Linked DNA regions of Oryctolagus cuniculus. The protein of the gene in region 1 purifies or fractionates together with the protein of each later gene. This does not show direct contact. Links are inferred from orthologs where the notes say so. Each region holds a gene or a part of one and is shown on either strand. Other genes may lie near its edges.

What was found.
Region 2: the proteins of HSP90B1 (region 1) and OS9 purify together in Homo sapiens (affinity purification with mass spectrometry; 6 studies listed by BioGRID and IntAct, with this or other methods). This does not show direct contact. The link is inferred for Oryctolagus cuniculus from reciprocal best matches to the Homo sapiens genes HSP90B1 and OS9.
Region 3: the proteins of HSP90B1 (region 1) and CALR fractionate together in Homo sapiens (co-fractionation; 4 studies listed by BioGRID, with this or other methods). This does not show direct contact. The link is inferred for Oryctolagus cuniculus from reciprocal best matches to the Homo sapiens genes HSP90B1 and CALR.

The regions. Positions count from the first base shown.
Region 1 is NC_091442.1:106,766,669-106,770,410, forward strand, and holds the start of HSP90B1 (endoplasmin), read left to right. Parts: upstream 1-1,476; 5' UTR 1,477-2,316; coding exon 2,317-2,365; intron 2,366-3,021; coding exon 3,022-3,124; intron 3,125-3,647; coding exon 3,648-3,742.
Region 2 is NC_091442.1:60,274,480-60,278,221, reverse strand, and holds the start of OS9 (protein OS-9), read right to left. Parts: upstream 2,296-3,742; 5' UTR 2,233-2,295; coding exon 2,071-2,232; intron 1,664-2,070; coding exon 1,487-1,663; intron 721-1,486; coding exon 657-720; intron 547-656; coding exon 470-546; intron 236-469; coding exon 137-235; intron 1-136. UniProt on the Homo sapiens protein: Lectin component of the HRD1 complex, which functions in endoplasmic reticulum (ER) quality control and ER-associated degradation (ERAD).
Region 3 is NC_091447.1:62,399,759-62,403,500, forward strand, and holds the start of CALR (calreticulin precursor), read left to right. Parts: upstream 1-1,493; 5' UTR 1,494-1,550; coding exon 1,551-1,641; intron 1,642-2,012; coding exon 2,013-2,114; intron 2,115-2,282; coding exon 2,283-2,486; intron 2,487-2,736; coding exon 2,737-2,831; intron 2,832-2,926; coding exon 2,927-3,136; intron 3,137-3,247; coding exon 3,248-3,361; intron 3,362-3,465; coding exon 3,466-3,609; intron 3,610-3,742. UniProt on the Homo sapiens protein: Calcium-binding chaperone that promotes folding, oligomeric assembly and quality control in the endoplasmic reticulum (ER) via the calreticulin/calnexin cycle.

The DNA.
Region 1 (3,742 bases):
ACGAGTGAAGGAACCAGCTAATCGACCCATCAATTCACCTCAGCGCTCCCTCCATCCCAGTGCTCCGGGGTGCCAGCCTGCACGCTCCCGGGCTCCCCACCCCTGAACCACCTCTGCCTACCAGGAGAGCTCCCCACTGCACTGACCGCACCTGTCGGCCCACCCGGTGTTCGCCCCAGTCGGAACACAAGGTAGGTCACTGCCTCCTGGGCTGAGCGGTGCTTACGCGGAAGCTTAGCAGCAACCACAACAAAGGTATCCATGGAAATGCACCACAGGAAGAATCAAGAGATCAGCTCCAAAGGCGGGGAGGGCCCGTTCTGGAGGAGCCGCACAGGGCAGGAATGGGGATGGGTAGCCGTTAGGAGTCAGAGAGGCGGGAAGACCGCCCGAGGGGGCGAGGCTGGGCCCGAAGCCGCTCTTGCGCACCCCTAGGAGCACGGCAGAGCCCAGGCAGTCTCGCCGTGGCCAGCCCACAGCCTGCGGCTCTGCCCCCTCGTGAATTCTCAGCATCTGCACAAACATCCAGGCACTCGCAGCGGCTCTATTTCACTCTCGGTTCCCTCCAGGTGCAGCGCGAACTGCCCGGTCACATGGCTTTTGCAGTTTCAGGACTGCTCAGAAGTAGAGAGAAAGGTGAAGGAGCTGAGCTGTGAAGCCCAGAAGAGAGGAAGAACCCATTTTCTACGACCAAAAAATCAGTGAAAACACAACGAAATACCCTTGAGATTTCTGAATGCGATGCACACTCTAGTAGACTTTAAAAAAAAAATGCCAGCACAGAAGCGTAAAACCTGCTTCGTAAGCTACTTTTGCTTACTAGGAACAAAAGCGGAGCAATAAGGAGCCCCGCGAGGCGCAGGTGTCAACCAGAGTTCAGAGTGGGAGTAGCGGAAGCCGGTCTTCAAGGAATGCGGAGGATCTCCCGAAAACAAGGAGGGAGCAGCGAGGGAGAGGGGCCCGGCTAGGGGCAGCGGGAGAGGTGGTCCCAAGGCGCCAGAGACCTGTGGGCGACTTCCGCGGAGAGACACCTGGGGTTTCACGTCGCCCTGAGGGCGGCCGGGGTATTTCTACGAAGTTACAAAGCTGCTATCTTGTCCCCACTCCCCCACCCACGAAAGGTTTTGCTTTCAAATACTGGCAGGTGTGCGCTCCTGCAGGCGGGGCGTTCCTTTTCTATGCAAACCCGGGCGGCCCCGTGCTCTCCCGCCGACTTGCAGCGAGGGCTCGCGGGCTGCCCGGGTCGCCCAAAGTTTACCTCAGGAGAGCGGGGGAAACCCACGCCGCCCCCTGCCCTAAACCACATCAGGCAGGCGCGAGGAAGACTGGGGTGCCCGGTGACGCACGCGCAGCCAGATTGGGAAACCGCCGTTCCCGAGCCGGAGGCGGCCTCCGCCGAAGCGCGGCGACTTCTGAAAGCGCGTCCGCTGCGGGGTCCTGCAACACGCACGAATCTCTACTGCGGTCAGAACGAGATGTGAATTCGAAAACGTGCAGGACGGAGTTCCCGCAAAGACACGCGAGGAGAGTGGGGGAGAAGAGACCCAAACTGCGCAGCTATAGCCCGCGAGGAAAAAACTACGATTCCCAGCATCCAACACGGCGTACCCTCGGTGTGTGGCATGCCGGGAAATGTAGTTTCTTCACCACCAACAAGCCACCCGAAAGCCTTCAGGGGGGTTTCAATCTCTCACGTATTGCTTCTCCGAGAAGCACTGACAAATAGAAAGGTGACTTGGAAGTCGCGCTGGATTCGGTCCCAACGGGATCCCGGGTGTAGACGCCAAAGTGTGAAGAACCCGTTGTCATGGCTACCGTTTCCCCTGGTCACGGAATACACGCTCTCTAGGATCCGGAAGTGTTTCCTCCGCGACCTCTCAAAAAAGGACGGACGTGTGTGGAGCTTACGTTCATTGGACGATTTCCTCTAGATGCTAAGGCTTCCCAGGCAAAGGGGCGGTTCCGCGTGCGAGGGGCCCGCGGAGGTATGTGATTGGACAAAAGCTGTTACCCATGCCCAATCGGAGGGAGCCACGCTTCGGGCATCGGGCACCGCACCTGGACAGCTCCTATTGGCGGACTGTGGTCCCCCCCGCGAGTCCCCATTGGGTGCCTGGGGTGCGTGGTGCGGTGCGATTGGTGGATTCGTGTTTCCCGTCCCCCGCCCGCGGGCAGTGGGGGTGAAAAGCGGCCTGACCTGCTTGCGGTGTAGTGGGCGGACCGCGCGGCCTGAGGTGTGAGGCTCGGAGCTTGGGGTGGAGGGGTGGAGGCGGCTCCTGCGATCAAAAGGGACCTGATACCCGCCGGCCGCGCGCCATGAGGGCCCTGTGGGTGCTGGGCCTCTGCTGCGTCCTGCTGACCTTCGGTGAGTGATCCTGGAGCCCGGACACCCCCCCCCCCGGCGCGGCCGCTTCTCGAAGGTTCTGGGGGCGTTGGGGAGGGGTACCAGGGCCCGCGGCGGGCCAGCGGGGCCATCGCCTTTCCTCGAAAGAGGCCGAGGGGACTACGTTGGCGCTCTTGCTGCTCTGGGAAGAAAAGAAAGGACGGAGTCGTTTAAATCCCCCGCAGCCCGCGTGGGTCCGCGCCCGGCGGTCGGGGCCGCCCCGGGCGGGGCCTCCCTTGGGCTCTGCCTTCCCCGGCTGCCCTCCCGGAGGGCTCCGGTCCGCAGCCACAGCCTGGGGAGCCCCCGCCCCGCTCCGGGCTTCCGTCGTGCGCGCGCTTCCGTTCTTAGACGTCGGCGGGGTCAGCGGGTCCAGGCCCGATTGCAAGCCCCCTCGCCAGAGGCTGCACGAATCTGGTTCGTGTTGTGACCCGGGCCGGGGCAGGCCGGGATTTGGGCTTTGGTCTGCTTGGGAGCCCCGCGCGGCGGCGCGCAGCACGTGTGGCGGGGGCCCTGAGCCACGCGAGTCGCGGGGGCTCCGTGGGGGCGCCGCGCAAGGCCCGCCTCCCCCTCCCCCGTGCACCGCGCGTGTTTCGCAATCCCTGCCCTTGCCCTGTGTGACCGTGTTCGCTGTCCCCCAGGCTCGGCCCGGGCCGACGACGAGGTGGACGTGGACGGCACCGTGGAAGAGGATCTGGGGAAGAGCAGGGAAGGGTCGAGGACGGACGACGAGGTCGTACAGAGGTCCGTGCTGGTCGGCAGCGCCGCGGGCTCCAGGGATCCCCATTAAAGCTAATGCTCCCACATTGGGCAGGAAAGTGTTAGCAGGAGCGAGGTGTAACGCATTATCTAAGAGTCCCTTAGCGTGAGCTTTGGATGAATTCCTTTGAAAACTGTTTTGCTGACTTGCCGTGCAGAGTGCTGGCCCCTTGAGCTTTGTAAGGCCTGAGAGAAGACTTGCAGTGGGGTTTGCACTCGCCGAGTGCGTGCACTGACTGGTTTTCTGACGGGTTTCTGTCAGTGGAGTCTCTGCCGTGGAGCAGTGTGGGTATGGGTATGACTGCTCCTTGGTCAAGTTGGGCAATTTAAGAATCTCGGCGTGACCCTCTGGGAGCAGAGGAGCTGGTACTTGGTGGTCGTCTTGGAAGGCTTCCGTTTACCCGTCTAACCCTCAGGACAGTCTTCAGGGGCCACTTGAGCCGTCAGCACAGAGGCTGTGTTTTTAAAGGTACTAAGCATGCCGTATTTGCCTACCTGATTTCCTTAGAGAGGAAGAAGCCATTCAGTTGGATGGACTCAATGCATCCCAAATACGAGAACTTAGAGAGAAATCTGAGAAGTTTGCCTTCCAAGCTGAAGTTA
Region 2 (3,742 bases), about 46 Mb from region 1:
ATGTGGATAGCCGGCACTGAAACAGGCGGCTTACCCCTTCGGGTTTAGGGCCTGGGAGAGCCCCACCTCACTGTCCCAGGCCAGCCTGCCCTCCTCCTCTAGAAGGGGAGCTGTCACTGAGGGAGTTAAGACTCACCCGAACCTCAGCCTCCCGGGGCCTCCCATTGAGGTCGCACTTGGACCCGTTGCCATAGGTCTGGCTGTGGTAGCGTTTCAGGCGATGCTGCTTGGAGGCCTGGAGAAGACATCGGGCCGCAGGGAGAGGGTGTGAGAAAGACGGCAAAGAGAAAGGATGGCACCCCGTCCCTGCTGGGACCTTGAGACCTCAGAACCCTGGCCCTAGGGCACTGGGTCCTAGTGGCCAGCAAGGCCCTAGAAAGTCGTCGGTGAACCTGACCCTCCCCTTCTCTCCAGATCTTTCATCCTGCAGCCCAAAGCCCTTTCTCCTCCAGGCCCAGGCTCCCGCCACCTTGGCTGTTTCGTCATCCCAGTCGAAGGCCGATTGGTAGTAGCCGAGATACAGGACTTCACCTTTGATCTCTGAATCTGCAAGAGAAGCCACAGGGAAGCAGTTACTGTCTTCTAAGAGGAGGCAGCGGGAGGAGGGCTGGGGAGGCGGCCACCTTCCACACAGGGGAAACGGACGAGCGAGTCACCTTCCATGTGGTACTGCTGGATGTGGCGTCCATAACAGAACTCGTACGTCCACCAGTCTTTGGTCTGCCAATTACAAAACGAAGAATGGGTGGGCCCAGATGCAGATGTCTCTTCTCGGAACCAGCCCTGGGCTCCAAGACACATAACCTCTTGTCTACTTCTCATCTCCCTCCACCTCCACGCTCAATTCTCCAGCCCCTCACTGAGAAGGAAGAGCTGTTTTCCTTCTGTGACACAGAGAACCCCAAACTCTGTTCTCTGCCTGGGATCTCCCACCTTTTTTGTTTTCTTCCAGATTTTGTTTTTAATCCTTTGCCTTCCATAAAGATAAGGAATCGTGTTATCCTTGAAGCACTCAGAGCAAGTCAACTAGCACTCCTGGCACTATGCTAAGCACCCGGAAGGCAGCCATGAGCAAGACCAAATGACCTCATGGAGCCACATTCTAGAGCTTGGGAGTCAGACCAAAAATAAACAAACTCATTCAGTTAATATTCATCTCCTGAAAAGTGCCATTATAATAAAAAAAAAAAAAAAGTGGGATACTGTGACGAGTGACAGAAGGGGCTGACTGCAGGAGGTAGGCTTCCCCGAGGAGCCGCCCCTCCTGTGCCACAGTGACACCTCCTAGTCTGAGATCGGCCGTCCCGTGTCTCAGGTTGCAGGAGTCTGCTTCTTTCCTGGCTGTGTTACACGCCCACAGGTGACCACTCCCGGCCTTCTAAGCTCCTACAGGTTCCCCAGGTCCCGCTCGCACTCGTTGGCACCGCAGCTGTCAGAGCGGCTGCCGGTTCCCAAGCCCGCGCTCCGTCCCCACAGGCCGTCTCACCTTGAGCAGGCAGGGAGCATCTCTCATGGGGCTCAGCAGCTCCGGGATCCCAGGCCCTTGGTACGCGGGTGTCTCCTCCTCCCTCTCCCGCTGGAAGTGGATAGCTCCAGCGGGCAGGCGACACTCGTAGCGCTGTTTGTACTTGGAGGAGACGATCACCACGTCCGAAGCTTGGTTCTGGGAAAGAAGGGAAGGTCGGGGGCTCCGACGCAAAGAGAGGCTGCGATTATAGAAAACACCCGGATCCCTCTGCGGACCCTGGGGAGGAGCCCAGGCGGCTACAGAAGGAGCCAAAAGGCCTCCGTGGTCTGGGGGGCACTCCCACTTCTCCACGGAGGCGGAGACTGGGTGTTGCACCGTGAACCCCGACCTGCAGGCTGACAGCTGGAACTCCTCTCCCCCCAGGCCCCGGGCCCCAGGGAATGGGTCTCAGGCTGCGATCACCAGGAGTCACTGTAACAGCCCTACCTACTCTTCCCGATCCCCTTAGGCTCCCCCCAGCCTCCGCACCTGCCTTTCTTTCTCTACCTTCTCTCCTCCTTCCTCTTCTACCTCGGACCCTCACCCCTCACACGCCTTCTCACCTGCCCTCCCAAGACTGGCAATGGCAGGATCTCGATTCCATAACGCATTTCACTCAGCTCCTCCAGGTTCAAGCTCCCAACACCGCCGGTCAGACTTGCAGGTAACAACAGCCCCAGAAGCAGCAGCCCCAATAGGCTGGACAGCAGCGTTTCCGCCGCCATCTTTCGTTCCCCTTCTTAACCAGAGAAGCTCCTTCCGCCCTAAACCTGGCAGCGGCCTCACCCCTCCCACTAGCGCCGCAAGTTCTCATTGGCTACACGTTCTGTCCCTCTCACGTACCTGATTCCCATTTGTAAACGTGGCTCCAAAGTTCCCGGGGAGGTGGACCACGACGATTGGCACAATCAATCACTGCGCGTGATTGGCCAGAGATGCCAACCAATCAACGACGAGATTAGACCCCCACCCCTTATTCCCCCAATTCCATAGAGGCGTGGTCTTGCCCTGGGCGCTTTTTGGCAGCTTTTCGCTCTCCTCGGCCAGCTGTCCCGCGCATCTCTGCTTAGCGTATTTTTTAGACGTTTCATGCAAAGTGTCCCGCCCCGCGCAGAGCGGAGTACTGGGGCTGACGGATAGGTGTGTGCGATACCCGTGGAAGTTAATGAACACTTTTTGCGAAACAAGCGATTATTAGAATCATACCTCATTTCATATATACACTACTTCAGGGCAATCAGGTAATTTGTGTCAGACTTTCTGCACGATCCTGCAGTTGTTCTCCAATAAAATGATCCTAAAGGAATCACGGGAGCTGTCAGTGAAAGACGGAGTAAGGTGCTAATGCACGTATTATTGTAAAAGAAAAAATAAACACACACCAAAGAACAAAGAAGGAAAGGAGGCAGATGCAACGTCTGCGAAGCTGGAAAGCCGGCAGAGGAACGGCAACCGGCTTAGCAGAATGAGAAAATCGGCCCCTAAACAAAGGTAAACATGAGCATGGTGCCGCTGGAAAACGTTCTCTGGGGAATTTCTCCAGCACAAAAGGAAAATCCCAAAGAGAAGCTGTCGCAGTGAGGCACACAATCCCACAGGCAAGCCCCAGCCCTGAGCTGACTCCAATCTGCTTGTTGACCTCCTCGCTCTTAACACAGCCAGGCAGTGTCCTTAGACGTTCAAGGAAGGACTTTAAAGATACAAGAGAGAAACAAAACCAAGCAAGCAAAGAGAAAAAAAAGCAAATTAAAGGTAATAAAGATTAGGGGAGGGCAAAAATAAGACAAATATTTTAAAATTTAAAAACCCCACCATCTGTAGCCTCAGAAAGGTGAAACAGTGTATCCATAAAATGACAATGGAAGCTGGTTTTTTAAAGATTTATTTATCTGGCCGGCGCCACGGCTCACTAGGCTAATCCTCCGTGGTGCCGGCACACCGGGTTCTAGTCCCGGTCGGGGTGCCGGATTCTGTCCCGGTTGCCCCTCTTCCAGGCCAGCTCTCTGCTGTGGCCAGGGAGTGCAGTGGAGGATGGCCCAAGTGCCTGGGCCCTGCACCCCGTGGGAGACCAGGATAAGTACCTGGCTCCTGCCATTGGATCAGTGCGGTGCACCAGCGATTGGAGGGTGAACCAACGGCAAAGGAAGACCTTTCTCTCTGTCTCTCTCTCTCACTGTCCACTCTGCCTGTCAAAAAAAAAAAAAAAAAAAAAGATTTATTTATCTGAGAAGCAGC
Region 3 (3,742 bases), on another chromosome or scaffold:
GGAGGAAACAAGATGGGTAGTCCCCACCCTCCAGCAGGAAGTTCCAAACCCACGTGTCTTGGGCAGGTCAGTAGTGGGCCTGGGAGTCAACTTGGACTTGGCCATCTTCCGGGGGGGGGGGGGGGGCAGCAGGTGGGATGCTATTGTTTGGGAGAAAGAGTAGAGCCCCCAGGTCCCCCCCCCCACTTGTCTTTCTTCCTCTTTCTGGGTCTCCCCCACGGGCAGGGAAGGGAGAGGTAGGGAAAGGCATTGTCGGTCCCCCATGCCCCTGGAGACCCAGGAGCCCGGCCCACGCCCCCAGAACCGTATCTTCCCTACCGTCTGTGTCTTCCCCCCCCCTTCCCAAAGGGAACCCCCTACCCCTACCCTCTCGCCTATGGCCGTTTAATTGCAAAAGCGAGGCTGTTTGTGGCAGACCACAAGAAGGGAGGACCCGCTTGATTTTTTTTCTTATTTATTTACAAGTCACAATTACAGACCGGGGTAGGGGGGCATGTTCCATCTGCTGGTTGGAGCCGGGCACTTCCTCCAGGTCACCCACGTGCCCACGCCATCTTCCACTGCTTTTCCAAGCACATTAGCAAGGAGCTGGATCGGAAGTGGAGCAGCCGGGACTCGAACCGGCGCCCATGGAGGGTGCGGGCGCTGCAGACCCCGGCTTACAAGCCCCTTTCCACGACCGGCAGAGCATGACTGCCATTAGGGGAGCCACAGCCTCCAGCCTCCTCTTTGACCCCTCTTGCAGTTCCGCCCCCTCTGCGCGTGCACAGCCGTAAAAAAGAAAAAAAAAATCTTTAAAAAAACAAACTTGACAGAGGTTTCCTACCAGATAGCATCTGCACCAGGTCGCCACCCCTGGCTTTTGTGCACCACCGAGAGTTCAGAAACGAAGCGACTTGCCCCGGGCCACCCAGCAGCTGGCTGACAGGTGCCAGGGGCACCGGGGTGCAGCCCCCGCGGAAGGGGGGCCCCAAGCTGGGCGGGAGAAACAGTTCACGTCTGAACGCAGGTCCCCCACATGCAGGGCAGGCAGCGGGACGGAAGAGCCTTGCCCAGGCCGCCACGCGTCGGGATAGGGGTAGGGTCCCGGCGCCCGGACACCTGCGCCCGCGCGCGGTCTCCAAAGCGCCCCGTGGGGAGCCCGAAGCGCGCGCGAGCCGCCGAGGGCGGGGTCCGGCTGGGGTGCAGTCACGTGACCTGCCCGGAGCGGGGGCTCGCGGCCCCCACCCCTCCAGTAGGCGTCCCCCACAACGCGTGGTCGACCGTCATTGGCCGGTTATGCGGCCAATAGAAATCGGCCATCTGGGAACCCAGCGTTCCGAGGCACAACCTGACGTGCTGGGCCGACCGTCACCCAATGGGTAGGGAGAGCGGTGGCTGCAGACCAATGATAAGGTGGACGGGGCGGGCCTAGAGGCCGGGTCAGGTTGGTGTGAGGGGGCGGGCGGGTATAAAAGCCCTCAGCCGGCGGCGGCGTCCGTCCGTACTGCAGAGCCGCTGCCGGAGGATCGTTTTAAAGGGCCCGCGAGCCGCCGCCCCCTCGGCCCGCCATGCTGCTCCCTGTGCCGCTGCTGCTCGGCCTGCTCGGCCTGGCCGCCGCCGAGCCCGTCGTCTACTTCAAGGAGCAGTTTCTGGACGGAGGTAACGCCGGGGCCCTGGCTCGCCCGGGTCCCCCATAGCCCGGGCCCGCGGTGCGCGCGGCCCTGTAATTACCGCTCCGAGAGGACCAACACGGCGCGGCCCCGGGGGACTCGGAGCCGCGGGCGATCCGCCTCTCGCCTCCCCGGGGGAGTGTGGGGGACGCAGTTGCCGCTCCTGGCGGGAGTTGGGGTTCGCCCAGAGGTTGCCTCGAGACACCCCGGGGGGAGATCGCCGCTCCTGCCTAACTCCCCCCCACCGCACACACCTTGCAGCTCCTGGCAGGTGTTTGGATGGATGGGCGCTGGGGATGTGGGGGGAGAGAGGGTGGTCGGCCTGCCCTGCCCCTGTGACGCCCCCCCACCTCCTCTCAGATGGGTGGACCGAGCGCTGGATCGAATCCAAACACAAGTCCGATTTTGGCAAATTCGTCCTCAGTTCGGGCAAGTTCTACGGCGATCAGGAGAAAGATAAAGGTGAGGTGCCCGGGAGTCGCGTGGGGCTCGGCTTGTTGGAAGGAGCAGTGGTTAGCGCCTCTCCCGCAGGACCAGGGCAGGTGCAGGGGGTGTGTTAGGGAGGGTCCTTGGGATCTGACTCTGACCCTGACCCCGACCCCGACCCCGCCCGCTCCCGTGCCCTCCCAGGGCTGCAGACCAGCCAGGACGCCCGCTTCTACGCCCTGTCGGCCCGATTCGAGCCGTTCAGCAACAAGGGCCAGCCACTGGTGGTGCAGTTCACCGTGAAACACGAGCAGAACATTGACTGCGGGGGCGGCTACGTGAAGCTGTTTCCGGCCGGCCTGGACCAGAAGGACATGCACGGGGACTCTGAGTACAACATCATGTTTGGTGAGGGGCGGAGACGCACCCCTGAGCCGGCCAGCCCCGCGGGGCTCCCCGAGAGCCTGCAGACGGCCCTGGGGTTGGGGGGGACACCTAAGGGACTGGGTTGCAGCCAGCGGAGGTCCTGGTGCTCACATCCGGGGACTTCCTCATTGAGTTCTGGAGCCGATTGTGTTTGAGGGCGAGATGTCTTCCCTTTTGGAAAGAGAGAGGGTGGGGGCACTGAGCCCACTCCCTGTCCCCTCCCCCACCCCAGGTCCTGACATCTGTGGCCCCGGCACCAAGAAGGTTCACGTCATCTTCAACTACAAGGGCAAGAACGTGCTGATCAACAAGGACATCCGTTGCAAGGTGCTTGCCCCCCGCCGTGGGTGTGGCCAGAGGGGTGGCCCGGGCAGCGGTGGCCGCGGGTGGGCGGGGCCCGCTCACCACCCGCCCGCCCCCAGGACGACGAGTTCACACACCTGTACACCCTGATCGTGCGGCCGGACAACACGTATGAGGTGAAGATTGACAACAGCCAGGTGGAGTCGGGCTCCCTGGAGGATGACTGGGACTTCCTACCCCCCAAGAAGATAAAGGACCCAGATGCCTCGAAGCCCGAAGACTGGGACGAGCGGGCCAAGATCGACGACCCCACGGACTCCAAGCCCGAGGTGGCTGCTGGGGCCCAGGGCAGATAGCGTGTGGCGGGTGGGGGACGTGTGTGGCGGGCAGGCACGGGGCGTGTGCTCAGCTGGCCTCACGCACGGGTCTCGACCCCCCAGGACTGGGACAAGCCCGAGCACATCCCCGACCCGGACGCGAAGAAGCCCGAAGACTGGGACGAAGAAATGGACGGAGAGTGGGAGCCGCCGGTGATTCAGAACCCCGAGTACAAGGTGTGCCGCGGGGTCTTGGGCAGGTGGGGGCTCTCCGTGGGGCGCGCGCCCGCTTCCACTCACCCCTCTGTGTATCCTCCCCACCCCCCAACACACACACACAGGGTGAGTGGAAGCCGCGGCAGATCGACAACCCCGATTACAAAGGCACCTGGATCCACCCCGAAATCGACAACCCCGAGTACTCGCCCGACGCTAACATCTATGCCTACGACAGCTTTGCCGTGCTGGGCTTGGACCTCTGGCAGGTGAGATGGCGGGGTGGCCCTCGGGGCTCCGGGGCACCCAGGAGGAGAGGGACCCGTAGACCCGACCTCTTTCCTGAAGCTCCGGTCCTGGTCTGTGGCTGCGGGGCCCTTGCAGAAGCCCCCCTCCCCCCAG